Drosophila melanogaster: one gene and its partners. The protein of the gene in region 2 interacts with the protein of the main gene of each other region in a pairwise test. Each region holds a gene or a part of one and is shown on either strand. Other genes may lie near its edges. The genes, in order: und, Ccdc85, CRIF and disco.

Evidence for each region.
Region 1: the proteins of Ccdc85 (region 2) and und interact in a two-hybrid assay, tested with the Drosophila melanogaster proteins (one large-scale study listed by BioGRID).
Region 3: the proteins of Ccdc85 (region 2) and CRIF interact in a two-hybrid assay, tested with the Drosophila melanogaster proteins (one large-scale study listed by BioGRID).
Region 4: the proteins of Ccdc85 (region 2) and disco interact in a two-hybrid assay, tested with the Drosophila melanogaster proteins (one large-scale study listed by BioGRID).

The regions. Positions count from the first base shown.
Region 1 is NT_033779.5:9,759,362-9,766,108, reverse strand, and holds und (uninitiated), read right to left. Parts: upstream 2,741-6,747; 5' UTR 2,481-2,740; coding exon 2,375-2,480; intron 2,274-2,374; coding exon 1,461-2,273; intron 1,340-1,460; coding exon 912-1,339; 3' UTR 771-911; downstream 1-770. Other genes in the region: ppk18 (pickpocket 18), read left to right, coding at 4-330, 384-493, 550-752; Taf11 (TBP-associated factor 11), read left to right, coding at 2,935-3,203, 3,266-3,587; zf30C (zinc finger protein 30C), read right to left, coding at 3,968-4,544, 4,610-5,988, 6,056-6,429.
Region 2 is NT_033779.5:2,997,460-3,004,863, reverse strand, and holds the start of Ccdc85 (Ccdc85), read right to left. Parts: upstream 5,579-7,404; 5' UTR 4,863-5,578; intron 1-4,862. Other genes in the region: CG3558 (uncharacterized protein), read right to left, coding at 6,616-7,073, 7,334-7,372.
Region 3 is NT_037436.4:21,565,781-21,571,450, forward strand, and holds CRIF (CR6-interacting factor), read right to left. Parts: upstream 3,119-5,670; 5' UTR 3,054-3,118; coding exon 2,355-3,053; 3' UTR 2,279-2,354; downstream 1-2,278. Other genes in the region: CG7634 (uncharacterized protein), read left to right, coding at 1-28, 87-250, 308-487, 546-661, 726-819, 882-1,058, 1,114-1,403, 1,454-1,599 and 1 more; SMC5 (structural maintenance of chromosomes 5), read left to right, coding at 3,599-3,672, 3,741-4,113, 4,177-4,355, 4,477-4,723, 4,776-4,874, 4,940-5,227, 5,282-5,383, 5,442-5,650.
Region 4 is NC_004354.4:16,209,778-16,220,123, forward strand, and holds disco (disconnected), read right to left. Parts: upstream 6,974-10,346; 5' UTR 6,474-6,973; intron 3,568-6,473; 5' UTR 3,502-3,567; coding exon 1,795-3,501; 3' UTR 821-1,794; downstream 1-820. UniProt on the Drosophila melanogaster protein: Required for the establishment of stable connections between the larval optic nerves, the Bolwig's nerves, and their target cells in the brain during embryonic development.

The DNA of each region.
Region 1 (6,747 bases), 6.8 Mb from region 2:
CAGATCGTACTACTCCCTGGACGAGTGCCTTCTGGTATGCCGCATGAAGAGCATGATCGATCATTGCGGCTGTGTATCTCCGCCCTTGACCGGCAGTTCCATGGATCTCGACTATTGTATGCTTCCCGATCTTCCATGCCTAATGAGATGGAAGAGCATTTGGTATGGCTACAGTGACTTCGCCTACCTGCAGAACAAGGAAGAGAACTTGGTCCAGAGGCAGTGCGAGCACTGTTTGCCCACCTGCAACGGAGTTAGCATGAGTATCACCACCAACGTGGCTCCTTTGAGACGGACTTATAATAGCAGTGGTTACTTTACCGGGTTGCTGTAAGTGATGTACCACAATTTCTTTGATAAATAATGAATATCGAATATTTTAGAAAGGGATTGACCAACGAGCGACCATTAGCCATTATAAAGCTTTTCTTTAAACTGCGCTTTGCCCAAGCCACAAAATCTCAAATGGTTAGCAGTTGGGTTGTTCTGCTAAGTGAGTACAGTAAATAACTAAGACGAGTAGTTAAAAAATATTAACTAACCCTTTAGATCGCTTTGGAGGCATTCTCTCGCTTATGTACGGTTTCAGCATAGTCAGTTACATAGAGATCCTGTACTATCTTACAGGCAAAGGATTTGTCTACATATACAGGTCATTCTTATTAGATAAGGAGCCTATCAATCACAACTATTCACTTTACTGGCGTGAGCTCCGTAGCAATCTGCCAAGACAAGAACAACTTCGAAAATAATCTCACTCCGCTTATATTCTGAGCATAATACATTGTATATATAATTCGGTTGGCGCATGCTCACAAAAAATCAACAATAGAATGAACTTATATCAAAAACCGTATATAATGCAAGCCATACATCGCCGAAAATCGGTCACTGTCCAGTTCCTCATCCCACTAGTAGTCGTCGCCACGGGAAACGACTTCTTTGCAGGTGGGTCGCAGCATAATTGTGTGTTCGTACTGAGCCGTGTAGCAGCCCTTAATGTCGCACAACGGCGGATAAGCCTCCACAATGCCCTTGTCGCACAGATCCTTGAGAGCCATCTGGTACTTCGTGGCACCGGCGCGGTCCAGCCAACGCTTGCAGAAGGCCAGGGTGCCGAAGTTTTTGTTGATGGTGCCAAGCAGCTGCTTGGATGACTGCAGGCGCAGCGGCACAAACGGCAGATCAAAGTTCTTCATGTAATGCGAGCAGTCCATATCGTCATGGACCAGACCGCGACCCGTCGAGCCGAACGTCTCAATGGCGTAGAATTCATCCTCCTCCATGCGAGTGGACTCTCCGCCTTTCACAATGGGCACCGTTTTTCCAGCATGAATGCCTGAGAATTTAATTTTAGACTTCATTAAGTGTTTGCACAAATCACAATAAATTTAAACAAAAAATATTAAGGAAAGCATAAGCATATTTAAAATATTTATAATAAATAGATTTTTGCTTACGGTACGGGCTGATGGAGTGTCCATTTAAGTTGCGAATCGCCTTGATGGGATATGTTTTGCCGTCCAACTCGATCTCGTACGACTCCATGACCTCCTGGATAGCGGCGCCGATGTCGCATAGGCGCACATCGATGCCCGCCTCTCTGATGCCCGTGTTGGTGGCCTCCTTGACGGCCTGCAGCAACTTGTCGTACTTGTTGTTGAAGGTCAGGGTGAAGGCGCAATCAATGATCCGCCCCTTGATATGGGTACCAAAATCAATCTTGCACACATCGTCGTACTGCAGTACAGTGGGGTCTCCGGCATTGGGCGTGTAGTGGGCGGCGCAATGGTTAAGAGAGCAACCAGTCGGGAAGGCCAAACCAGCCTCCAGACCATTTTCGCCGATCAGGCGCCGAGCAGTGTTCTCCAGCTCCTCGCAGATTTGGATCATGGTCATGCCCGGCTTAATGTAGCGCTGCATATACTGACGCGTCTGACGATGGGCCTCAGCCGCCTGGCGCAATTCCTGGTAGATGTCCGTGTTGATACGGTCCAGAGCACGCTTCTCCTCCGATGTGAATCGGTCCTTGGCCGTACGATCGTCGGGCATATCCTTGGGCGTGGGGTGCTCCACGATCTCGCCCTCGGGGAAGTTGCCGTCCGGATAAAGCTTAGCAATGGGTATGGTGGGCGGATCAGTCTGACCGCTTTTCTTGCCCTTGTTCCCCTTCTTCTTTGCCGGCTGAGCGGCCGGTGTTGCCGGTTTGGCATCTCCGTTTGTGGTCAGCTCCTCGTCGCCGCCTTCTCCGGAGGCTATTTTGGCTGCCGCTTCTGTGGGCAAGTGGTTAGTTCAGTGGGTGGTGGGTGGTTGAGGCGGAGAGGGTCGTGCAAATGCAATTACCACAGTGCACTGCTCGCATGAGGTCACTCACCTTGGCGGAGCTTCTTGTTGTTCGGCTTGGGCTTCTTTTGTTTCTTGACCTCCTCGCCGATCTCGGGCGTTGCCGCCTCCACATTCAGAGTCTCGGTTGCAGACATTTCGCAGTGCCTTGGTTGCTGGCTGAACGATGAAATAAACGAAAATGTAGCGCGCACTCTTGCCTGGCGATGGCGATGCGGAGAAAAGAACAAAAACACGAGGTGTCAGAGGCCAGTGCTGTAAAACGTGCTGTGGACTATCGGAACCAGTGAATGTTCAATTTGAAATTTACATAATTTGACTTTGAGCACTAATTTGAAGAAAAAAAAAACACTACAAAAATAAAAGTTTATCGAATATTGTATATTTATATATTTATTATTTATTAAAATCTCAAAGCCACCTTATAAACAACTATGATATACCTTTAATATATTTAATCCGATATTTTGAATTATATTCATCTATTATGTGGTGCGGAACTTTTGAGTGTTGCAAAAAGCGAATATGGTGCAACTCCATCCCTGGTTGATTTTGTTTATTATTCGCTGGTGCTTTTCAAATTTCATTTAAATGGACGAAATCCTCTTTCCCACGCAGCAAAAAAGCAACTCCCTAAGCGACGGCGACGATGTCGACCTGAAATTCTTCCAGTCGGCCTCCGGCGAGCGGAAGGACAGCGACACCTCGGATCCGGGAAACGATGCGGATCGTGATGGCAAGGATGCGGATGGGGACAACGACAACAAGAACACGGACGGAGATGGTGACTCTGGCGAGCCGGCGCACAAAAAGCTCAAGACGAAGAAGGAACTGGAGGAGGAGGAGCGCGAACGAATGCAGTAAGTTAGCTTAAAGCGATTCGAAGGGGTAATCCTATAAAAACTATTTTATTCCACTCCAGGGTTCTCGTTTCCAACTTTACGGAAGAACAGCTGGATCGCTACGAAATGTATCGTCGCTCTGCCTTTCCCAAGGCCGCCGTCAAGCGTCTAATGCAAACTATCACCGGCTGTTCCGTGTCCCAGAATGTTGTGATAGCCATGTCCGGCATTGCGAAGGTCTTCGTCGGCGAGGTTGTGGAGGAAGCCCTCGACGTGATGGAGGCCCAAGGTGAATCCGGTGCCCTGCAGCCCAAATTCATACGAGAGGCAGTGCGACGACTGAGGACCAAGGATCGGATGCCCATAGGCAGATACCAGCAGCCCTATTTCAGACTGAACTAGCGAGTCGAGACATTAAGAAATATAGTTTGTAAGGCTGTTAGTCAATATAAAAATACATAAACAAGTAAAAAGTAAATAAATATAAAGATTTTTTTAACAAATCCCATATAATTAATTTTCTCTATTACGAATAAATTCCGAAACGTGTTTTTATAAGGAAATTTATTTTTCTTAAATGTTTTTGACAGGTCCGTATGGCGTTAAACCTTCATCTACATCAATTTTATGTAGCTTATTTACGTTCAATGTTATTTAATTAATCCAGTCATTAAGTAGATATTATTATGTAGTTGTCATCCCATTTGTTGTACAGTAGAATACGCATCCGTTTACAAAAGAATCTTTATTGAGTGGGATCGCTAAATGAATGTGTTCCGAAGTTACTCCATTCGCCGGGCCTCGGCTTGCATGGTCTGCAGTACGATGTGTGGCACCAGGTGTGTGGAGGCGTAGTTCAGGGGCACCGTGGCCAATGGCGCTGAGCCGTCAGATGGGAAGTTGAGCTCCTGTGCCATGGGCATGTCCCTGTCGATGACATCCTGGGCGATCAAGGTCTTGGTCTCCTCGTACTCCATGCCCGCCTCCGGCTTAGCGCCCATCAAGAGTTTTCCGCGCTGCACGCCCATGTACTGGGTGGCCTTGGCATTCAAAGGCAACTGGCCGCAGGTATCGGCATGCACCTTGCGATGTGCCTGCAAGTTGGAGATGCAAGTGAAGCGCTTGCCGCAGTTATTGCACAGGAAACGCTTAATGCCCGTGTGCACGGTCATGTGGGTGAGCAGACTCTCCCTGTACGGATACTCCTTGGGACACAGGTGGCACTTGTACGGCTTGTAGTCCGTGTGGCGCGTCTTCAAGTGCGACTTGTATTGCGCCTTCACCTTGAATGTTTTGCCGCACTTATCGCACTGGTACGGAGTGTCTGCCTTGTGAAGGAGCATGTGCGTCTTGAGAATACTGCGGAAAGGAAGATGCGTTACTAACAGTCTTAGAATAAACATTCAAACACAAATAGTTATTACCCAGCGGTGGACAAATGTTTGCCGCAAACGCTGCAGCCGTAGAGCGGTAGACGGCCGCAGTCAGAACGAACGTGGTCAGAGAGCGATGTGCGTCCGGTGAACTTCTTGCCGCACTTGTCGCAGATGAGGTTGCGCTGCTGGCTGCGCGGCTCCTTCTTCGAGTGGAAATTGCGTTCGTGGTTCTTGAGGCTGTCGTGTCCGGTCATGTACTTGTCGCATTTTTCGCAGTAGAGCAGTTCCTTGTGCTGGGCCCTAGCATGCTCAGTGGCCTGTTCCTTGGTGGCGAAGAAGAGGTTGCAGTAGCATGGGCACTTGAAAGTCAGCTTGCCATCTTCGCCATGCACCTTCATGTGGGTGACCAAGCGCTTCTCCACCAAATAGATCTTGCTGCATATGGGACACTTAAAGACTTCCTCGTCCAGCTTAGCATGGACGTCCACGTCCTTAAAGATCTCTTTCATTTCCGCCTCATTTAACTTGTGGTCGTCGCGCAAATGCTTTTCGTAGGGCTTGCGGATGTGGTAGATTTTTACGCAGTGAGGACACTTCCAGGATTTTTCCATCTTGTTGATCATCTTAAGGCGCTCCTTTAGCTCCTTTTTGCTGATCTTAGCTACGCGTTTTGGTGTACCCGATGAATCGTCAGGCGAGGGCGATCTAGGTGCGTTTCGTTTGCGATACTTTCTCTTGACCACAGGTATCTTTTCCTTTGGCGGTCTGCCCCGCTTTCTTGGTCCGGGAGGTTTTTCCATTTGATGACCCCTCAGTTCTAAGACATCTTCTTCCGCAACCTCCACTAGCGGCACGGCCGCGATTTCGTCTAGTATACCAGCGCCCTGTTCCACCTTTAGGCTCTCAAAGGGCTTTAAGCCATCACCCTCATTGAGCAGCACATCCAGCAGCTTATCCTTTTCGTTGCTAAAGATATCGGTGCTTTCGGTCTTCACATACATGCTGGCGTCCTGGTACTCGAAATCTTCTTCGTCGAAGGCCTCCACCTTGACCATAGCCGGCGGAGGAAGCTGGAATCCGGATGCATCCGCATCGTCCTCACTGTTGTTGGGTTCGAAGTCGGGACACTCGTCGCCCGAGTCCGAGTTCTGGCTCTCCTGCTTGAGCTTCGTCTTCAGACGACTGGCCAGAGGAATGTCATCATCGCTATCTTCCGATTCTTCGCTGGTGGTATCTTCATCATCAGAGTCCCTGTTTCTGTCCTTCTTGCGGAAGGCCTTATGTTTCTTCATCCCATCGGATGAACCGGGCGAATCGTATTCCGGCTGTCCACAGGTGTCGGGACGACTGCGTCGATGCTTGGATAGGTTAGAGGCGCTAGAGAAGCGGGTGTAGCAGCACTTGCACTCCATTGGTCGGGATTCCTCCTAAGGAAGAGAAAGTAATTATTATTAATATATTTACAAACGGTTCCACTGTTTCGGTTCTACTCACCCTGGGTAGCTTTTCCTCGCCACACTTGGTCCTGCAGTGGCGACGGTATGCCTCCTGGTACTTGTACTCCGCGCCGCACTTTTCACAAACGAAAGGCTTTCGCTCCTGTCCAGCTACCGCGCCAGTGACTCCGTGCTCATCCTTTGCATGCTGGGTGAGCTCCTCCTCGTGGCAAAACCGAGCATCGCAGTGACGGCACTCGAAGCCGCCCGGCGGCTGGTGCTTCTTTACGTGCTTCACATATCCGGCTAGGGAGACCAGCGCCTTGTTGCACACCGGGCAGTGCAGCTTGGGTATTCCGTCGGTGGTGATCTCCACCAGGAGCTTGGTGGCTGCAGCCGCCGCACTGCTGCTTGGAGCCATCGACTCGGTTTCTGCGAGTGGGGAATTGAGATTATAGCATGTTGGGGCGAACGTAAACAAATGCAAATTTGATTTTCGGTTGGTTTGGGTTTGTATGCGCCTACCAGGGCTGGGTCTTTCAGTTCTGTCTTAAATGCACTTGTCGCAATATTATTGTATTTATATTTATCATAGGGTTTAGTAAAGAAGCTGCATTGTGCACAATAATAATAACTATGTAAATCAAATTAGATCTAGTGACTTCCGTTTTTTCTATTTTTTCGTTTTAAGCAAACTATCAAATTTTATTATTATTCTTTTGGTTACTTTAATTTTTATAAGCAGCTTCT
Region 2 (7,404 bases):
TGGCAACAATTCAGTTGGTAGACGGAGAATTGAAAAAACGCAAGAGCTGCAATATCAGATCAAATTTCCCCCAGTGTTCCTTTTGGTCACTGAGCCATGTCGATCTGCTGTCTTCTGCTCCTCGCAACAGCTGGGCAAGAGGTGAGGTGACCAGTGGTTTGTCGGTTGGTCGGTTGGTCGGTTGGTCCACCGTTGGAGGCTGCTCTTGTTTATAAATCAAGTCACATTAAGTGTAATAATAAACGCAGATCGAGGCGAACTTGAGCCGGTTCTTGGGTTCAGCGTCGATTGGGTTGGGGCTATATTAAGGCTGTTCTGCGGCTGGTGGCGAATTGAATAAGTCATAACAAGAGAGAATGCTATAGTCAAGTTCACCGACTATCGGATACCCGGTACCCAGCTAGTGAAAGTACCTGTTACATACATTTTATCGAATCTAAAATAGCCTCCTACTTACTCTACGAGTAATGGGTATCAAAAGGGGAGGGTGGTGGCGCAAGGTGGGAATTAATAAAAATCTGGCCAAATTGTGGCAGCGCGTTCTTCTCCGCTTCGATAATTATGGAGACCAGAGCAAGCGAAAAGAGAGAGGCTTCGGCGGAGCTGGGGAAATGTCAAAACGTACGCTTCATTGCCGTCGCCTGTCTGCTGTCTTCTGTCTTTTGGCTTCAGTCTTCAGCTCAGTTCACAGTCTTCTGGTCTCTACTAACGATAACGACAACAAAATGCTGATGGCACAAATTATAGTCAAGCAAGAAAGAAAAACGGAGCCGGAGTTGGAGTTGGAGTAGAAGTTGGAGCTGCAGTTTGGAGCTTGGAGTTGGAAAGAGCCGCGGCTGAAGACCGGCAGGCCGGCAGTAGAAAGCAGAAAGCTAGCCAGAAAGCCTCCGTCTTTCGGTCCCCAGTCCCCCAAGCCCGCTTTGTCTCGAGCCCCACAATTTCCGCCATTTATGACAGTCACAAATCGAGTTACACTCACATACCCACCGCCTCGACTTTGTCTATAGCTATAACCATAGCTTTGACTTTGGCTTCAGCCTCAGCTCCAGCCCCAACTTCAGATTGAGCCTCTCCTCCAGACCGCCGCGTACTTTCTAATTTCTAGGCGCACTTTTTCACTCGATGCTCTGCCGCCTGGCTGCCGTTTTTGATGTTTAATACCCTAGAAAATGGAGGGGCACACGAAACTACTCTATACATTTGCACAATATTGTAACTTCAATATGTACTTTAATTTGTGTAACATAGCATTTAAGTTCCATACTTAAAAATTATCTTCAAACAAGATGTTTCTTTCGAAATAGGCTAACTAAATACTTCCTATTATAGTGTATGCCACATTCGTCATCTGTGGTTTGCATTTATTTACCAATATGTTTGTTGTCACTGCTTTCTGTTGAGCAAACAAGTTTTTTGGTATTTTTTTTTATTATTATTGTTCATCTCTTGGGTCTCCGCCAAGTGTTAATGTTCATTTGTGCATGCGATATTCACCAAATTGCATGCAATAGAAATTTGTTGTCGAGGTCGCACCGCTCCGCCAAACGAGCATCAAAACAGACCCAATGCCGCCACTCGGTTCCGTTGATACCACGGATGCCCCAGTCCCCCAGCCCAGATCTCGAGCCCCAATCCGCAATCCCCACTGTAACCATAACCATTCACAATGCCAAAACGGCAGCAGCGGCGGAAAAAAACGACGCTTTTGGAGGAGGTTTTTTTGGTAGCTAAGTGATGGGAGGTCAAATCAGTTACAGTTACGTGAGGCTGTTTTGGGCCAACAGGAGAACGTTTTGGCCAGAAGCAGAGCGAATTGAAAGTAAAGAAGGGGCCTCCTAATGAATCCCAAGTGGAGCACCCCTCAAAGCGGATTCCATGCGATTGGAGGCCATTTGATGATCTCATGGCAGTTCCAATCGACTGGTCTCATTTACATTCCTTCGGCATTTATGTCGAATGGGATCATTGCCAATTACAATGATATGTGTAGAACCCATCTGGCATATCTTTTTTGGTCGTAGAGGAAATAGATTAGAATTCTTATCATTGCATCTTTTACCTAATTATAACTTACTGGTTTATTACAGGAATTCTATAATGATCATGTTCCATAAAGAAGACTTGCACTTATCATTTGCGGTCTTTTTTATCTGATTTACATGCTCAAAACATGATATGTCGATCTATAGATCACTTATCATACATTTCAACCGGTTCCGTTTCGATCATTTCTGGAATTTATAGCATCCCGAGACGAGACTTGTTTTTTTATATTAGAGCATTCTGATACAGTTATTCCAAATCAATTTTCCCGGCGAATGCTTAGAATATTTTTTTAGATTTCCGTAATTTAGTGGAGCTGCTAGCTGCTCGAGACGCCCCCTTGTGCTTCCTCGTGGGCCGGAGCCACATGCTCATGACCGTTTGTCATTTCCAGAGGCGCGCCAATTGCCAGAGTGGCCTGCCAAGTATTTCTGCGCACTCTGTGTGAGAAAATGTGGCCAAACGGTTAATAACAGGGGAGTAGGTTGGCCAAAAGGGGGTTTCCTCCAGGCGACCGCAGAAACGGCAGCAAGAGTCAACATGACCGAGCCTAAAAGAAAAGTCACAGTTGCGCTCAAACGAATAGCACCAAAAATGTCACTCAAAGATAATATAAGTCTTATATAGCATATTATATTCTGATCTCTTATTAAATAATCTTGGCGTTTATATAATTTTTGGGATATATGTATGATATACGATTTTGTGAGACGTGTTTATCCACAGATCGCAAAGCGAAGCATTTAAACTAACCTACTTCTAGCATTTCCACCGCCACTATAAGCATGCAAGTATGTGACCATGTGGAGGAGATTCCAGCTATGGCTGCCGGGACAGGAAACTTAAACTAGTTCTAGTTCGAGTAGCTGGCTTCTAGCCGTTCCACAAACTGGGACACTTGTTGCGCCAACTTGGACACTCGATGGCTGGATGACTTGGCTTGGTCTGCCCTGGCTTGGCTCGCAAGCAATCAAACCTGCAGCCCCAAGATGACAAACAGACGAGGCTTCCCACGCATCAGTCACTCCCATGCCGCCCCTGCCACTCCCACGCATCCGATGGCCGAGTCCCGAAGGCCCGGAAAAGAGAAGCCAGGCTAAATTGTCTTAATGGACCATGAAGAGGAGCCCGCGGAGACGTAGAGATCCAAAAGATCATTATACTCCAAAGAGATTCTGCAGATGGCGGCAGGCGCGCGTAAATCTCGAAACCGCCCAATTAAACAGAAAGATATACGTATATGGATGGGTGCTTATAGGAATATAAAGAGCAGGGCGACACACAAAACAAAATCACCGGCGAGGAGGACAGACAACGAAAGAGTGAACGGAGGACCGGCGGCGATGTTGGCGTGGATAAGCCCAAAAGAAAGTTTTCTTTCATTGACAAAAATTTCTTACTCGACTGCGCTGTCTTTTATTTGCCGCCGCGTACAACGAACTTGGCCTCAGTTGCCCACGGGCGCGGATCTTAACCCATTAAGATGCCGGGCCAAGTCAGGAGGAGATTCTTGTGGATACTTTAGAAAAGCCTCATGACCGCAAAAAGATTCCAACTCGGATGAAGGCTTAAAGAAATGAGTAATATTAAACATTCAACTTAGACCCCTAAGGAAACATACTTTTTGTCCGAGAAGTAATAGTGTTAATAATTGTATTAATATTAATTACTATTTACATTTTGCCAATTCAAACGATGCCTGACTGTTGCATTGTTTGTGGTATGTGGCCAAGCAGTTTTCCCAACTACACCATCCCGCCTTTCCATTTAACCCATGGACAATGCATTTGCATTTCTTGGCCGATTTCTCCCTTTCGCGTTAATGGGTTAATGCTGCTGCTGCTGTTGCCTGGCATTAGTTACAGTTTTCCGATACACGAAATTGACTTTACATATTTCAGGCAGCGGGCGATGTAACAGGTTGTTCGGCGCCATCTCTTTCGCTCTTGCGGGCATTTCGTTTCGAAACGGTGGCGTCGCTGCTTTTACCTGTTGCATGCGGCGTGGTTGTTGCTGTTGCTATTGCAACTGCTGCAGCAACAACAAAAGCAACGGCGATGCTGCAGCGTGGTCGGTTTTCGCTGCTGGTTTTGTTTGATCTTGTGTCTTATTGTTGCGCGTTGTCGTGTATCTTTCTGCCTGTTATTTGTTGCTTTCCTCGGATGCGATACTATCGCCATCGCTCCTGCTGCCTCTCCTTCTCACTCACACCAGCAAGCAACTGTTGAATTTATTGGCGCATATAAATGCCTCAAAATTGATGTTATTGTCGTCCGATATTCCCTTTCTTGCCCCCTTGCCGCCTCGCTGGCTCGTTCCTTTGTTTTTGTCCTGCTTGTTTTGAAAATTGATTTTTACTCGGACTTTTATGGCCGTAGTGGCCGAGCGATAAGTGGAGGAAAAACCCGCCTTCGTTTGCGCACCGTGGAGGGAAAAGACAAAAGACCAGAGACAAAAGAAGAACAAATGGGCAAGGTGGGCGTAGCGCTGACAAAGTGGGCGTTCCCGAGGAGAATAGAGCAATTTTCTGGATCGAAGGGAAAAGAGGGGGCAATGAGTTAATTTTCCGTGGGCCGAGGCCCATGGATTTTTAGTCGACTGACGTGGGCTTGGTACACGTAAAAAAGTATTGATTCAATGTTTTTTCAATAGCTGAAGAGCCTGAATTGAACTTTTTGTGAGTGAGTTATCATGTATGTTATTCAAATAGTTCCTTGCACTGTACATTAATTGTGTGGAGAAACGTGGGCAGGGAAAATGGCAACTTAGGCCAAGGCAACTGCAGTTGCTGCAATTGCCAATCTAACAGCAAAACTCACCTTTTATTTTTTTTTATTCCAATCCGATCGCGCGCTCTCTCTATGTTTCTCTATCTATCTCTGTTTCTCGCTCCTTCTCTCCTTTCAAAACAAATCACAAATATTTGCGCATGCGCGACTGCGCATTCCAGGGATACAGATACACACAGACACACACAATACACTGGCACACAGGGGCACTCGATTCCGCCGTTTGTTTTGCGGCTAATTGTTTATACAGCGTAGATTATTCTTCGCACTGGATGTATTTGTTCATCCGGCTATTTTCGTTTGTTTTTGCTCCGCACGAGCAAATTTGCAGCGCACACGCAGCCGAGAATTCGCGCAATCGCTTTTTCCTGTATGTATCTTTTATTGGCCACAGTTCGCGAGTTTTCATGCCCTTTTCGAGAGCCAAAAAGACGCGTCGCCTGCTGCGTTTCGCGAACTATTTTCGGTTGGCTAGAATCCCGTAAAGGCGGTTTCAGCCGGTGTTCCCCTTGCACTTAACAAACACTCAAGCGGCACTCGCAACTAAAGAACAAAAAGTTTGCGAAAATGCGGGCGGTGTGATTAGTCGCCAACACGAATGTATCGAGTGCAGGGCGGGGAAAAGTATAACATAATTTATGCGATATTTAACAATAAAATAAACACAACGCAATAATTCAGCCGGCGATGCGCACTTTTACGTTTTTTGAACGGCAAACGATCGCAACGATCGCAGTTTTGTGACTGAAAGCGACCGATTTCTAGAGATGCGTTCAACCATCCACAGTGCTGTCGACTATCGATTGTTTGTGTTCGACTAAGATATCGGAGTGGAATGTGTTTGGTTTAAAGTGTGGGCATAAATCGATCAATCGATCAACTTCTATTTTAGTACATATTCAAATTCAAACTCTTCCGTTAACGATCTAAACGGAAATTTATCTTGCCTGCTTCTTTTAATAAGTATAATCTTGAATATATTGGCTTGAAGTTTTCATAAGAAACACTTTTATTTAAAAACATTTTGGCTAAATTTCAGCGCCTAAATTATCATCGTATTTCGCCGCCACACCCCAAAGGCAGTTCTCCCAATGGCCCTCAAACCTAAACTGTGTTTCCGATGCAGGCAGCTCCTCCAGCTTCAGCTGACTTGCGCAGAATGAACTGTGCGTTTACGTGTCGCACCAGAAGAAGGTATACCCAGTGAGTCCCTTTGACTCCTCTGGTGGTTGCCATGTTATAAAATTGGCTCTCACGTTAAACCTGAAATCCTAAGCTAATAATAAGAATAACTAAATCTTCTTGGCTGTGCATTTACTTGGACCAATTTAATACTTTCAAGTTGGCTTTACATAACTTGTGTAATTTGATCTTGCATACATAAAAGCATAAAATATATTGCAAAAATACATATGTATACATGGTATGTGTGTTATATAATTCTCTCTATAAACGTTGTAAATTTTGCGTACGGCTGGTAATTAGAATATTTGTTTACATCTGAACACTTAAGATCCACCGTCCCGATTCACTTAAAACATTTAACCTAAATCTATTTGTTTAACGCGTTGAGTGTTTCTCTTTTTTTTTTTTAGTTGAGTCCGTGTGCATTAACTTGTAAATCTGTTCAAAACTGCATTGTTCGTTAAAAGTTGTTTTTTAAAATATAAATATCGAAAATTTAACAGGTAAAAAGAATAATTTCGTAAGAGTAGCTGGTTAAAACAAACAAGGGCTAACAAATCCGTAAAATATGTATACACAAGCTTTCCGTTCCAAGCGATCATAAAGACCCCTGCTCCGTGACCAGCACAACGCTCTGCTCCTGCGCAATGGCAGCCAGCTCCTTAAGCCACTCGTCCATGAGCACAGCACATAGGGCCAGATCGCGTGATCGCTCGGTGCCACTTGTGCTGGCGATGATTCCCATGGAGGCCACCGAGTCCAGGGACGCCGGCTCCGAGTTGAAACCACCCGTCGACGGGCCGCCATCCAGACCGTGCAGAGTGCTCGCCGAGTGGGTGGTTGTGTTCGACTGGGCGGAGAGCGTTAGGGTGGAACCTGCGATGCTGCTGTTGCTTCCCGATGCCGCTGTTGACGTCGCGTTGGCTCCTGTGCGTGATGCTCCCGCTGGGGGCTGCGTACTCAAGCTGGTCTCGCATGTGCCTGCGGACGTCTGAGCTTGTGATATGCCTCTTCCATCGTTGCTGGCATTATTCCCCACCAGATTCGAGGCAGCTCCTAAAAACGTATGCGAGGATTAGCAACAGCACATGATATTGACATTTTGGGTTAATTAAAAAACAACAATAACCACATGTATATATGGGATTCCACAAATGTTTTCTATATTCTACTATTAACTATTTTTTTAGTGGAAAGCATAATGTACAAAGCTCTACGAAAATAAAGATACTACGCACAAATATTAACAAGACTATGCCATATTGGGTTAGGTTTGATTAAAACTTTAAATATTTTATCAAGCGTGAAATATTTACCGGTGAAGAATGCGTAAATTTGTGATAAGCCAGATGAAGCTAAGATTTGTTTGATTTTTTGATCGATTCGA
Region 3 (5,670 bases), on a different chromosome or scaffold from region 2:
GCACTTAAGGACAGTTTGGAGGCAAAACGTAAGCTTAGTTCGTTCTTCTTGAAAACTTGCATTAAGTAGATCGATTTCGGCCACAGGACTATTGAAAAACTTGCAACGCTATGATGCGCCTATTAATTTGGAGGTCTGCGATGCATTGTACGAACTAAATCAGCTTGAGAACGCCAAAGCCGAGCTCCACGACAATACCCGCCTCTTTACTGGAAACAAAACTAAAATGTTCGAGCAGCGACTGGTGGTGGTACGATGGTGTTTCGGGTTGAGTTTGGGTTTCTCCTGATTTCTGGGGTGCTTCCAGGTGGACGAGAACATTGAAGATGCCTGTGGCCCTTCGATGACTCAGTACATATCGGACAAGGAGAAACTCATAGTGCACTTGAAGGAGGTACAGAACAAGTACAAGCCCGATACCAGGCCGCTTTGGAAAATTCTGAAGGAACAGGAGAAATGCGATGTCCTGAGCATTCCCGAAATCGAAGTGGGTATTATTGGCAAATTTGCAAAATTACCCTTACTGTTATAGGCCGTCTTACTAGGAAGAAATGCTTTCCCCCCTTGAAATTGCGAGGCGAAGTCGTGCTTTCGACGTGTTTAACCAGATGTTCATAGATAGGTCTTGGCATGATGTCATATTTCTCAAGCACGTTCGAAAGTAAAACCATTTGTGAAACTATAAAACATTGATTATAGCATATGTACCTACATTTTTGCCTTAGAAATCCAAACCTTCTCTTGAATCAGTGTAAGAACTCCACTGAGTACTTACAAACGCTTTCTACAAAGAAATATGACGAGATCAAAAGCTTTCTGGTGAGTTTGAGTGGTGAACCCGAATTATGAGTACCCAAATTGTCCCTAATTGTTTATTTCAGAAAATTCTGGAAGCCCGTAGCCCCATGTACAATATCCGATACCAAAAGTTCACAAACAAGAAGTTGATGGATAAGTTTCGCCAGGAATATCTTTTTCGAGTTCAGTACCAAACAAGACGAAACATGATTTCCGCACTGCGTAGTATTCGGTACCTTCGAAAAACCAAGAGTCTAACAGTAAGAATTTTGAATGAATTCGAACAGAGATTGGTTAAATGATTAATGGTTTTAGAAACTCACCAGTTACGTGGAGGAAGTTATGGGAGATTACGTGGTGAAAAAAACCAACAGGATTATGCCCTGGAAATTCGAATTCATCAACGAGGTGTACAATATTTTGGCGCTTGCCTACGTAGATCAGTACACGCTTCCGAAGAACTTTCGCTTTTCGGAGAAGAACGCACTGCTTCGATTGCTTCGCTTTCCTATGGACAAGTCAAAGGAAGTGAAACACTTCGTATTTGGGGATCGAACTACGCACCAAGGCTCGGAAACAGTAGATCCGGCCTTGACAAAATCACGGTAACTCGCAGTCGAGATAAAAATTCTATTTTAATTTATTTTGTTTTCAGTCTAATGGGAAACCGACTCGAGAACCGTATGAATTTCGCAAAGTACCCTATAGAGAAGTCCTACCTACTTCACCAAATGGCAGAGATTCATCTTAAATCACACAGGTTTGACGAATGCTGTTTTAGTGCCCGAAAGTCTATTGAAGGTTTGGTCCATTAGTGCTATACTATTAAACGGTTATGGAAATACCTATATATCTATCTTTTTAGAGGCAAAAAAATGCAATAGCTACATTTGGCAGTTTCTGTGCTACCTACTGATAATAAAGGCGAATGCTGCACTCCACAAAGTCGAGCGAACCAGTGAAGCTCTAGATCTGGCACTAAAAATTTCCAAGGAATTGAAAGAAAAGCATATTCATAACTTCTTGACTGCCTGTATACACTGTAATGAGGAGGAATTCATCGTGAAGAAGCAGAGCATTTTTGCGAATAGCCGGCGCGAAAGCGAAAAATCGGTGTATAGTTCCCTGTCCGTGCGCCATAGCAATTAGAGCTTTGTATTATTTGTATAACCAAAAATATTGATTAATAAATTCTCAGTGCAATTATAATAGTGTAGTGACCTATTAGATACCTATACTCAAGTACCCCTGCGTATTTGGAATTTGCATTCTTATTATCAACTTGCAAGCTCCTTCATGGCTAGATCGACTCGGCTACTGATCCTCTTTTAAAAATAATGCTTGTGTAACGTATATATTACACAAACATCGGGCTTACTTTTCACTAGTCTAAGCAAATTCTTGTCTTAATTTATAAAAATATAAAATATTTTGCAACACTTTAAAATATTTTATGGGAGTACAGATAATAAGTGCTCTTCTTTTTGCAGTGTTTTTATTTTAGTGTAACATACAACAGTTCTTCGCTTAAATCGATGGTTTTGATACTACAAATATTACACTGATGCTTTCTCTACCAGCTTGGCCATCATCTTCTCCTCCTTGGCCTTTCGCTTGGCCTCCTTCTGCTTCTTCTTGTCCTCCTTCTCTTTTTGCTCTAGCATTTCCTTAAAGCGTTCGTCGCGTGTATCCACCTTGAACCCGAAGTGTCGGCGCACCTCCTCTACCAGGCGTTCCTTGCGTTGTATGGCTGCCGCTGCATCCGCCTCCCGCTTAGCGATCTTCGCGTGCAGGTCCGCCTTCCACTGTGTCAACTTCTCCATCTTCTTCGCAATGTCCTCTTCACGGGCATTTATCCTTGCCAGCTCCTCTGCCTTCTGCGCGCGGTTCTTCTCCAGCATTTTCAGGAGTGTTTCTAGTTGCATAACCTGCCTGCTGTCTTTCTCTCCGTGGGAATCGAAGCAAATCTTGGGATTCACATTGCTCTGGGCCCCATACCGGCCGAATGCCTGTCTCTGGTACTTCTCGGTCAAATGAATCCAGGAGTGAGGTTCCTGGTATGGCAATTTGTTAAGGAGCACATTTTTGTGTTGTGGTTGCAGGCCGGATCTGTCCACCGTCTGGGGATATGTTGGTTCCACATCCACGTCGCCGACCAAGGAAGCCGGCAGTTCCGCTTTCGCAGCGCTCGAGTACTGGGCGCACGAGCGGAGGGCAGGAAGTCTGGTGACAACGCTTATCTTGCCTACATTCATTTTGAATTGTATTGTCTAAGCAAAATAGTTTATTAATTTCCAATAGAGATGAGAGAAAATCGATAGCGATGACACCAATGCTGGCAACTAAACCCTTTTGGAGCTAAATTCAGATATTTTTTAGGCCCCGTCAGAAAGATAAGTAATAGATATTAATTGTTGTGACAGTCTGGCTGCATCCCAGCTCAAGCTCTATATATTTCTTTTTTCCTTGCTATTTATTTCTATCAATTTGTAATTATCGTTTCCACGATTTGTTACTGACATTTTACTTGTCAGTTTTTATTCCGAAAATAGATTTCTGAGGCTTAAAATTATCATTTTTATGTTGTCAGCTCAAAATATAAAAGAAACATAAATTGATTATACATACGGGCGGCGCACAAGTGTACCCTTAATATACCAATCGTTATCGACAACAATGGTACGTGCACATATGCCCTAATGCAAAACTAAATTCTTGAAAGCGCGGAATTGCATTTAAAACAACTCGTTTTACTTAAGTTGAAATAAGCATTTGCTCGGATAAAAGCCTACGCCACGACATGGCGGGGGATCGTGCCTTAAGTTCCAAGCAATTGGCGGGGCGCATACATTCCGTGTACTGCAAAGATTTCGTGTAGGTTTATTTCCATCAAAGGCGCAAATTGACAATTTCGCGGCTCATTTGATTATTTCCAACAACAGATCCTACAGCGAGATCACATTCCATCCGAAGCACTACCTGAACGTTCTGACCGGTCCCAATGGCAGTGGCAAGTCCACCATCGTGTCGGCCATAATTTTGGGCCTCGGAGGGGAACCGATTCTCCTTGATCGCTCCGCCAGCGTTGCCGACTACATACAGAGCAACAAAACCTCGGCCACCATAATTGTCCGGGTGTATGGACGCACGCCCAACACCACGGAAACCTTTCGGCGCATAATAAACTCTAATGGCTTGTCTACCTTCTCTGTGAACGACAAAGACACCTCCAAGAAGAACTTTTTGGCTGCTGTATCCTCCTTTAACATACAAGTCAGCAATTTGTGTCAGTTCCTCCCGCAGGATCGGGTTCAGGTATGTCGTTATGTTGGCAATTCATAAATTACACACCTATTTATTGTAAACATACTGTTTCAGGACTTCTCCAAGATGAATCCTCAAGAGCTTTTGCTCAACACAATGTCCTCCGTGTGTGACGAAGACCTGATCAACAGCTTCAACAGTCTAAAGCAAATGCGCACAGAACAGGCGAATGTCCATGCTAATCGGGAAAAAGAGAAAAGTGATCTGGTTAAGAAGCAAAAACGATTGGAACAGTAAGATATAGTTACCCGAGCTTATTTTTATTCACTAAGTAAAATGTAACCAAATGTGTGGATGAAGTACAAAATTTTAATTCTTACTAAAAACCTAATTGTCTTAATATCATTTTATTAGCTTACAAATGACTGTGTCCCAATATAAAGAACGCGAAGAGGTCAAGCAAAAGCTGCAGGTGTACAGTGCGAAGAAATTGTGGGTTGAGACTCAGGCTGGAGAAGCCAAGGCCGCAGAAATGAAAACTCAAGTGAAAAACGCAAAAACTCAGAGCGACAAATTGAAGAACCAACATGACAAACTTCTTCAATCCCAAGAACAAATTGAGAAGGAAAAAGAATCACTCAGAAAGGCCTTATTGGAAAAGGTAATGGGTGGCAGTGTTTTTTAATATATTTTTTAAAAATAAGTTTTTTTAGACACGCTTATTAGAAAACGCTGTAGCGGAGAAGGCGGCTATTGATGGTAAAATGGACTCTTTGAAGCAAGGAATTTACCAAAAAAAATATGAACTGGAGGTTGGTGTTCTTGTTGCATATATCGATCATGTGAATAACTCTTAATCTTACATTCTGTCACATAGCAAAACATTAAAAAATCACGAAGAACGGCCACAGAGTGTGATAACCTAAATCAGTTGGTGGAGAATAAAATTTACGAGCTTGAAACCCTAAATAAGAGCAGGCCTCTGATCGTTTCGGAACTTGAAAGGGCTAAGGAATCGTGCGCAGCTGCCCGCGGGAAAGCAATGGAGCAGTACAGCAGACGGAGACAACTGGAACAAAAACTGAATGATGAAATGATTCCTGAAATTACTGCGTATAAACTTAAAATAGAGCGGTTGAGAAACGTCAAAATGCAAAAGATTGATGTAAGTTCTTACTGAAATAATGAAAACTCAACTTAACGCTACCTTTCATTTTAGGAAATTAGAGCAAAAAATCCGAATTTGGTTGTGGCCATGAACTGGTTGGCGCAAAATAAGCAAAGGTACAAATTGAACGTTTATGACCCAATGATACTTGAGGTGAGCTTTTCAAAATGAAGCCATTACCAATGGCCTAATGTTAAAACCGCTATCATAGCTTACAGTACAAAATCATGAGGACGCAAAGTTTTTGGAAAACGTTGTGGCGCAGCGCGATTTATTTGCATTTGCGTGTGAGGACAAGGGGGATATGTCGGACCTGATCAACGAGTTGTGTGTGAAGCAAAAATTGGGAGTTAACGTTATTTACTGCGCACCATCCGATAGACTCGTGTACAGTCCCAAAACTCCCATCGATGATCTGCGGTATGCACTTGTCAATTGTC
Region 4 (10,346 bases), on a different chromosome or scaffold from region 2:
TATATGTACATATATTTGTATCTATATTGGTGTGCGTGCGCCTGAGTGTGTAATCCGTCCATAAGTGGCCTCAAATGCCTATCCATAATGATGATGATGATGTGGTTGCCGCTGCGACCAATAGTTGGTCATTCATCACGACGATTCGCGGGGGGAGTACGATATGTACAAGTATTGGATGGAGTATAGGAATATGGTATGGTATGGCATGGTATGGTATGGCATGGTATGGTTTGGTTTGGTATGGTATGGTATGGTTCGGAACCGTAAAGTATGGTTTCGGTATGGTATGCTATGCTATAGTTGCGGAGCCGAAAACCAATTTATGCCGCATGTCACGCCTTCTTGTGAGTGTCCGTCGGCATTTCGGATACTCATTTGTGCAAACGGGAGGGACAGACCATTTCGAGGGCGTTGCCCATTATAGATCTCATCAGACCAATACTATATACATTTGAATCTGGATTCGTTGAGACAAGCAAATATGTACGTGTGCTTTTCGCAGGCGAGAAGAGCTAGCTTGACTTGTGATTGTGATCCAAATGAGTTACGCACATCGGTCTATTTACGTAAAAACATTACTAAATGATTTAAGGTGGGCAGTAATATATCTGAATTAAATGGCATTTAACGAAAATAGCAATTTTTTGTAGATATTTTCCACTGGACTTTATATCTTTCGAATGGAAAAACAAAATCCGCATAAAATCGATGACTCATCTATATTATTCACATAAAGTACATATGCTCTATTTTCATAGTGAAAACATGAAAATTATGTATCCGCCCAGAGAACCAATAAAAAAAAGCATCTTTGATTACATGTTTCTTCAATTTTGCCGTTGTTTATTTGTTAATAAAAAACTTAAAATCTTGTTGTAATACAGTACACAATCGTCGGGAGGAATTTTCGTTTGCGATAGCAATAACATTTTCGTTCACCTACGATCTATCAACCTTTGCGATGGATTTTTATAATTTTGTTTTTTTTTTTTTGGGTTTATTTTTTTTCTTTAGGGATTGGTTGAATTGAATCTCTTCTGGTTTTTTATTTTTTTAACACACGGGGGGGATATGTTTCAATAGAATTTGCTTGCTGTGTTAGTACATCCAAGTTATACAATACAATATAGTTTTATTGGCTACGAAAAAAATTGTCTTAAAACTATTTAATATATGCCATTCATAATATATATTTCGTTATAAATATCAATACTTCGTTGTACACCGATAGAGGGGGCAGGGAAACGGAACCCGTTCCAAAATCCCCGCTTCTGCACTGCCCAGCCCGCTTTTCAGATGACAGACTTTAATTTTTTTTTTTTTTTGGATCCGATCCTGGGATCCCACACACACACACACACACACTCTCATTCATGCATCTGCACATTCACACTGAGGAACGGATTGAATACTATACACTTAGATGTCGCACTACAGTATACATTATACATTATACATAGGTTTCCAAAAAAAAAAAAAATCCATATAACACATGTACGAGCAGAAAAAGCTTAGTTTCGGAGCAATTCCAGTTTTCAGAGGGGGGGGTGGGGTACTTAGTGGCATTGGTTGCGGGTGTTGCGGGGTCGCGCCTGAGGAGGAGTGCCAGCCATTTAATGGTCAAGCTGTGGCACAGCCCCACCACCTGAAGCTCCACCTTTTTGTGTAATGCAGCACGCCACCAAATGTATTCTTCTTAAAATACGATTCACACACAAAAAAAAAATATAAAAACAAATTTGACTAAGGAAATCATCTAGAAATCATCGCCATGGATCAGCAGTCTGGACATTAGACGGAAATCGGCGCATTCGTGGCCGCCGGCGATTGCTGTTGCGGCTGCTGTTGGTGGTGCTGATGGTGATGATGGTGGTGGTGACCCATGTGGTGATGACCCAGATGATGGTGCTGCTCCTGATGGTGGTGGCTCAGGGTCAGATGATGATGCTGCTCCTGCTGGTGTTGCTGCTGCAGCTGGTGATGGTGGTTGTATTGCTGGTGCTGTGTCTTCAGCAGCATGGAGCGGTACATTTCGGAGAGGAGACTCCACATGGGCGGCGAGTCCTTGGCCAGATCCACGGGTGATCCCGCCGGCAGGAAGGCGGTGGGCGGTGCCTGGCTGGTGGCAGCGGCAGCCGCTGCGGCGGCAAACATCTGGGTCTGCAGCAGGCGCAGATGATGATGCTCCTCGAGGTCCAGAACGGGCAGTGGGAGCATTTGCCGCCGGCTGGTCATGTAGGCACTGTCGCTATCCGGGTCCAGATCCATTTTGATGCTCGTCTGTGGTGGATTGGCGCTAGCGCTGGCGGAGGAACTAGAGGCGGAGGAGGCGGCTGCCGTGGAACAGGCGGAGCTGGAGGCGGTGCTGTCGTGACGCTTACGCTTGCCCAGCAACTGATCCATGGAGAAGGCATCGCTGGGCGAGCGCTTCTCACGCTCCAGCTCATGCTCCTGTTCGGGTTCGTGCTCCTTGTCGGATTCCACATCCTGTTCCTGCTCCTTTTCCGCCTCCCGCTCCCGTTCCTGCTCCTGCTCCTGCTCCTGTTCCCGATCCTGCTCCGACTTGCGACGCTTGTGAAGGCTGAAATCCAATGGCTGGTCAGCTGCCCGCTCCTCATCGGCGGCAATGCTACTACTGCTGGCCAGGCTCAAGCTGCAGTGCATCTCCTCATCCTGCTCATTATCCCGTTCGTGTTCCTCCTGATCCTCGCTGGAGGCCGCCGGACTAGAGCTATTGGCCTGCATGTCCACGTACACAAAGTCGTTGTCATCTTCGGGATCAGCATCCTGTTCATTGTCCACCGATCCAGAATCGGGATCCTGACAGCCGGTGGAAAGCAGGCCCAAGCCATGTAGACCCGCCTGTCCGCCGAACATGACGTACGGATGGTGACCATGATGCGGCGGCGGCGGTGGCAGAAGTCCGGGAAAGGCAACCGGAAGTCGTCCGGCGACAGCGGCCGCTGCTGCGGCTGTTCCGGGCGAGAAAACCGGAAACTGCTGGGCAGTGCGGCCATCGTGCGGCGAGATCTTGCGCCGGATGTGTGGCGAATGGAGTTTGGGATTCGGATTGGCGCTATGGCGATTCCTCGAACGCCTCGAACTGAACACCATATTGCAGCCCTCCACCGTGCACTTGTGCATCTCGCGAAGATGCACGGCCGAAAAGTGAATCTTAAGGGCGCCCTTGTCGCAGAAGGTCTTGAAGCAAATGGAGCACTGTACTCGTTTCTTTCCCGTGGCTGGATTGATAAACTGACCGGCCAGATTGATGGGCGGTGAGCCCCAGCGACGAGGCTTTAAGGATGAACCTGATCCAGTGCCCGATCCCGCTGCCGATCCCGATCCAGAGCCACTGGATCCGCCGGGTGAGCTGGCCGGAGAGGCGGCATTTGGCTGCGGGTGTGACGGTAGATGGGAGTGCACATGCTGGTGGGAATGTGGGCCATGGCCCAGCAGATAAGCCGGTGACATGAACGGATTCATTATGTGCTCCATGTCGTCTGTGGTGGATTTTGTTTCTATGGTCGCGCTGGCGATGGCGATGGCGATGACTGGTGGTGCCTGGAAAACAAACAAGAAACAGAAACGAATCGTTAGGAGTGTCAATCAGGGAGTGTCAATCAGGAAGTCAGTGAATCGGTCAGTCCTAATCGAAAACTATTGCCAGGGTTGCGGGGCAAATCCGATTGCGCAACTACAACTGGGAAACTGGAATCAACCTTATCGCCGAGAGTCAGCAGGGCAAATTGTTGAATGGTCTGTGGTGCCGGGGACATGGACATTGACTCCTGGACCTGGGACATTGGGCAGTGGTCATTGATGCGCAATTAGAGTGCGAAAAGTCAAGACGGTCGAATAAGTCAAGGGGAGAAAACTTTATTTTGGGGGGGGGTCTCAATTAATCAGTGGATTACAGCGATTAGTTGGTCATTGCTGTAAGATACATTCTGAAATCCAGATTTAAAAGAAAGTCTTTAAGGCTGCCAGCTGTGTGCTTCAAAAAAAAAAAAACCCCATTGCTGTTCAAATGGCTTTTTCATTAATTAATATTCGATATCCTTAAGATATAGATTAATATCTGAGGCGAATGTATATGTACATATGACTGCATTGCCACGCCAAAAGCACTAATCTATAGCATTGGAAAGCGCTCTAAAGTCATATCTCAAGTGTATTACCGAAATTCCCAAGTGAAAGCTTCCAAGGAGCTTAGCCAACTTTGTGCAAATCCAGCTAGATTTATTGGTAAGACACACACTGCTTACAATAACTCAGACAAGCGAACATTTATATCGGCGACACCGATGGCGGCATATCTTTCATGTCGAGCCGATAGTACAGTAGAACAACTAGAGTTGCCATGTTTTGTATTTTGAAATAATCAAAAGGGGTATCCCAGTGACTGACGCTACATCATTTGTTTAATCTTTATCATTTTGGTTCCTATGCACCCAATTTCTGTCGTAGCCAAGGCCCACTGTACACTAACACTGGCGCATTACTTGTGTAAGTGCACATTGCCTCATTTACTCGAGCGAAATCTTTTACAGCTTTTTCGGTTCTTCTGGCCATTAAAATCGCCTCTGACAACGTCGACGGCGACGACAACATGCGGCGATCAGTGTCGGACTTCGACTTTGGATCCGATCGGTCGGAGTTAAAGCCAAAACCAAAACCAAAAGCAAAGCTAAAGCCAGAGCTAGCTCATTTTTTTTATTGTGGACTCCGTTCGCTACCGTAATTGTGAGCAGTCGACTTGACGTTAAAAACAGAAACAAATCAGGGGTAAAAAAAAAAAAAAAGAAGTGAACCGAACCCAGGGGCGTCACAAAACTGGGGACAATTGCGGTGAGATGCGGATGACGATGGTGATGATCGTGTGTGCGATGTCGTGGCTGGCTATCTGGATTCGATCTCAAAAGTCGAACACACATTCGCATTCGCTTGCCCAATGCCAGCTAAAAAGTTAAGCCGAAAACCACATACGACTATGGCTCACACATACAGGCATACAGGTAACACGCACACAGTTGCAGGAAGCCAGGAGATGGTCGCTTTTTATGGGGCTCATTAGTAACGATGACAACAATAGCATTAAAATGAGTGTATGTACACACGGCGAAAATGCGAAAGCGCAAGAAAAAAAAAAGAAGAGCAAAAAGGGGGGAAAAAAAACTTAATTGTCAGGTACTTGGAAGTAATCAGTTTCTGACTAGGTGCCGAAAATATTGTTACCATTCAAGAAATAGAGAATGACCCAAAGATGTTGCAATAATTTTCTAGATCATTATAAGTTAACTATATCATATGAGTTGAAGGTGCCTATACCTTTTTATCTTCCAAGAATCTTTTAAAAAAGAGATTCAACTCAAAAAAAAATATAGATCTTTTAACATTTCAATATAAAACAATTCAAGATCTAAGCATCATAACAATCTTGCATAGCACAATAAGGCGCAACGGAAAACAATAACAACCTCTCTATTTTCTCTCAGTGCACGCGGTCGACAGATCGAGGTGAGTATGCATGTACATGGGTAATTATTTTTGTCAAACGCTTAAAATGTCTTAAGCCACCGATGGTGAAAGGGGGGGTGATGTTGGGCAGCTGGGGGTAGGGGAAAAACCAATCACAACTTTTGATGGCTCTCGGACGAAACGTTTTTTGATTATCGGCAGTGGCAAAGGCAGCAAAATGTTGAAAGTACCCAAGACAAGAAACGACAAGATTGAAGAATTCCGAGAGTTGGGAGACGCTTTAGATGGTAGATGGTAGATCCAAGATCTGTGGAGTACGGTGTGTGGCAGTTGGGGATGGAAGATGCCGAGATGTGAGCAATCCGGCGGCTATAATTGCTGTTGTAGTTGCTGTTAATAGTAGTACATTATAATAAGCAGGAGTCGATGGGCACAAGGGGCATGCAAGGGGCATGCGATGGTCCAAAGATGACAACGCCGATGGTCCGGACATCAACGAGAAAAACAGAGCTCGAAAACCGCAGACAAAAATCTTAATTACAACTTTGACATTTGGCGTTTCCCCCGAAGACATCACTTTTTTGTCGTCGAAGCTCACGCAGCAAATAGACAAAAATGGGTTTACGAACATTGGATTAACAAGCTGTTTTCAATTTAGCAAAGTCAGGATATTATAAGAAAATCCATAGACTAGAGGTAAAAGATGGCAGCACATCACCAGAGATCCCATGAAAATGGTAATACCATATTAATGCCACTAGCAGCCTATGTGATCCTAACAAGATCATTATTTACCACGAAAAGAATCCTATTGTTGCGTTCCTATTTCATAACACAATTCTTGAATGGGTAATATTTTTATGGCACCAGGATTTCTTTTTAGAAAATACTCCTCTGATCTCGAAAAATATTCACTATGACTTCACTTGAATTTGAATTCTTTGCTTGAAGTGCCGACGGCAAATCAACTTTACTCGAACTATACATACCTTTTGCTAATTTAGCAGCGAGTTGTAGATATTTTATTGTATTTTGGTTTATTGCTGTTTTTTTTTTTTGTTTTAGATTTTCTCACTTTGTCACAGGTTTGAGATTTAAAAAAAGGGTTTCTTTCGCTTTGTTTTGTTTTGATATTTTGTTGCGTAAAAAGTTGATAAATTCAGATGGTAGAATTCACTGTTGGAGCTGTGTGCTGTTGTTGTTTTCATGCCCGTGGTGCATTTATTTTTGTTGCATTTTGCTGAGATATTAAAAAAGTTGGTCGTTCACAGTTGACGATGACACACACACACACACACACACGCTCGTATGCACGCACACTTATGCACTGGGTCGCGCGGCAGAGAGAAGAGTGGACTGGACGCGAATATGCGGATGCGAATATGTGAATATGCGGAGTGGCAAACGAAGTAGCGACGAAGATGCGGATGTGCGGAGAGCAGGGACAGCAGAGATCCACTTCTTCGAATGTCGTGGGTGACACTGATTGTCGATTTGTCGTTTCACCAACGAATTTGTGCGGCGACTGCGACGCCGGCAGCGCAGCGGGCAGAGAGCGAGCGACAAATGCGGCGACACCGACACCGACACACCGACTGACTGACACAAACACACACGCACACGCGGGGTGGGTGACATTTGGCTCTCTCTCGCTCGCTCTCCCGCTCGCTCTTGCGCCCTCTCTCTTTCACTCTTTCGCTCTTGCACCTGGAAGAGTGTGAGAGAGCGCGCTATTGGAATTGGCCTTCGTCACATTGTCGTCGATGGGTCATTAGGCACTCGCCCGAGTGCGAGCGAGAGATCCGCCCGCACTTGAGTCCATCCCGCTCGCCCAGTCGGCAAAGCAGTGCGAGGCAAGAGTAGCCACCACTCTCTTACTCACGCCGCGAAAGAGCGCCGTCCCGTGCGTGCGAGCGGCTTGGCACGCTCGTGCGGCTATCTCGCGCCCGCTCGCACACTGTCGTCTGAGTGGACGAAACCGTTTCGTTGGGTTGACACATGCGACATGCGACGTGTGTGTGTGTGGTCAGTGCGGCACACACATTCACACGCACTGCCGCCAGCCAAAGAGAACGCAGCGCTCGCTCTCGCCGCTTGCTGGTATGGGTGCCTTGGGTTCGATGGTGTGAGTACATGGCCGGGCACTATAGTGTGACAGAGCGAGAGAGAGGGAGCCGGAGCACAAGAGCGCAAGAGGGAGAGAGCAACGAGAGTGAAATGGCAATGGCCACAGTATACAGTACACAGTACGTAATTTGTCGCTGCTGCGACGTCACTTTTTGTCTTGGGCTTCTCCTCTCTGCTTCTCTTCACGAAGGTTCTTTTGAAATTTTTGTCATTTGATGTCTTGTCCACTCGGTGCTGTGCCCTCTCGCCGTCCCTATCGCACCCGCACGAATGGCCGCGTTGAGCGGCTCTCTTTGTTTTGCGATTGCGCTGTGCATCTGTATGGGTGTGTGTGTGGGTGCGAATGTCGCTGTATAGGTGTATCTGTGTATGGGTGACACTTTGGCAATGGGGGCGATTCGCTTCGATTTTTTTTCCCTGTCGCCACACAGCACCAATGGAATTCGAGCACTGGTGACAAAGAAGCGACGCTGCTGCTTCCTCTTTCCACCCCACACCCCTACCGCAGTCCCTCAACGATCCTATCACCATGACCGCCCCCACCACCACTATATATGTATGTACATATGTATGCATGTATAACTTATGTAAATTGCACAGCTTCGGTATGTAAGTGCCTTATGTGATAGCAGCACCTACACACATATACACAGCTCCTTGTCGTTTCATTGTCCTTTTCATTGCCGAATTAAAATAATTCTCACCCACACTCCCACACAGTATATGTATGTATTTGCTAGACGCCGGAATGTCCCACATAAGGATACAAAAGCACACATACATATTTGGCCACATTTGTTCTTCAATTTATCCACACAAGTGTCCGAGAAAAGTTCTTAAAGCGAAAAAAAACCGTACGGAACAAATCCTATTTGCATTAATCACCATAAAAAAATATAACAATAAGGACCGCATTATTATGTTGCATACCCACAAGGCGTTAGCATCAATGTTGGACTTCCAGGAAATGGTCAGGACTTAATAAAAAGCACTCTCTTAACATTCAATATCTTTAAGTATTACATATCATACCATACGTTTAAATGGTATATAAGGTTCTAACTAAAATTCATTCAAGTAAGTTTACTTACTACTTATAAACCAAACCCAAATCAGTTTCTTGTTAACCTAAAGCTTTAAGCTTTAAGGCTTCTCAAATACAATGCATCACTCATTCAATTAGTTGTTTCTTATTTAGCTTTCGTAATCGCGTAATCGCAAGTACCTTTGCAGAAACATTAATTGTTCTAAATATATAAATAACACAATTTATTCACTGTTGTTTTCCTAAAAACTATGTTTACTTCAATTTTTAATCTGAAGGTGGGAATAAATCCTCCAAACCCAAACTATAATTCTTTCAGATAAACAGATTTATCTGAAACTTAAAAGCACCATAATTCCACTTTAAAATGTGATGTGAAAATTAATGATTATAATTAGATGTGTTGTGAAAATCATTTTTCAACGAAGTTTTTACAGAATGTACCATCAATTTAAGTGACAAGTGCAGCAACCTTTATGCTGCCTCGATTCTATTCAACAAGGTGTCCTCAAATTGCTTGATTTGAGAATAATATCTGATAATATTAATGTGTGGAGTGCCTTTATAATCGATTCCCCATTGCTGAGTGTCACTTTTCAATTCGGCGCCGCCAACTGGCCTTTGTGAATTGATTGATGTGAGTTCGAAGGTGAAAAGTCAATCCTCGAAGGTTTTTTTTTTAATATTGTTTGGAACGAATGGAAATATCTTCTCTGGGGTCATCTCGATGTCGCCCCCCCATTTTTTTTTTTTTCATGTTGGACAGTGCTAGTCAACACTTTCGTTTTTCCTTTCTCTTCTATTGTGTAGCGAAATGGTTTCATTAATCAAAAATTTGGAGAAATAAATGCTCGTTTCTTTCGATTTATTTCGGCCCCCTGCCAGATTTGATAAATAATTGCTATCTTATTATGTCGATTGTCGTTGCTGTCGCCGCTGGAATCAAAATTCAGGGACTTCAGAGTCCCACAGATCCACTGTCACCGGGCTAAAGTCAAGAACAAGATACTGAATCGGAATCGGGCACAAAGTTCTTTATTAACACGGGAATAGCACGGCACCCTTTGTGCACGAACACCAAAATCGAAACGTAATCGAGGTCCGAGATCCGAGACGAAATCGATCAATCATTTTTCACACTTTGTCGTCCAGGTTCTCATTCTCCATCCCATTGCCATTACGATTACCATTACCATTCTCCGTCCTCTATCCTCTATCCTCATTCCCATACCCATACCCATACCCATCCAGATCGAACCATCAAGTGGAGGCCCTGTGGATTACAAAGATCCAACGACTATATGTATATATATATATATATATTCGTACATCTCATCTCTTTCTCGCCGCGTACTTGACTTCAGGTCAATAAATCGTTTCAGATTTTTTGTTTCGGTTCTCTTTCCTCTGATTTCTTTAAATACGATTTACGCTGACACAAATGATATTAAAAATCCATTAATAATTTTTGACCCTGCATCGATTTCGATTCCGATACCCCAGCTATACTCTTTTTACCCACACAAAAAAAAAAAAAATAAAAAAATAACGCCCTGAGCCCGAACCAGAAACCCAAGCTAAATATCAACCTGAGTATCCGAGCATTGATACTCATATGGAACTGCAAAAGGCCATGGGAAGTTATCCAGTTCGCTGGCTTTGCTCTCTTCAGTTCAAACAAAGGCGTCAC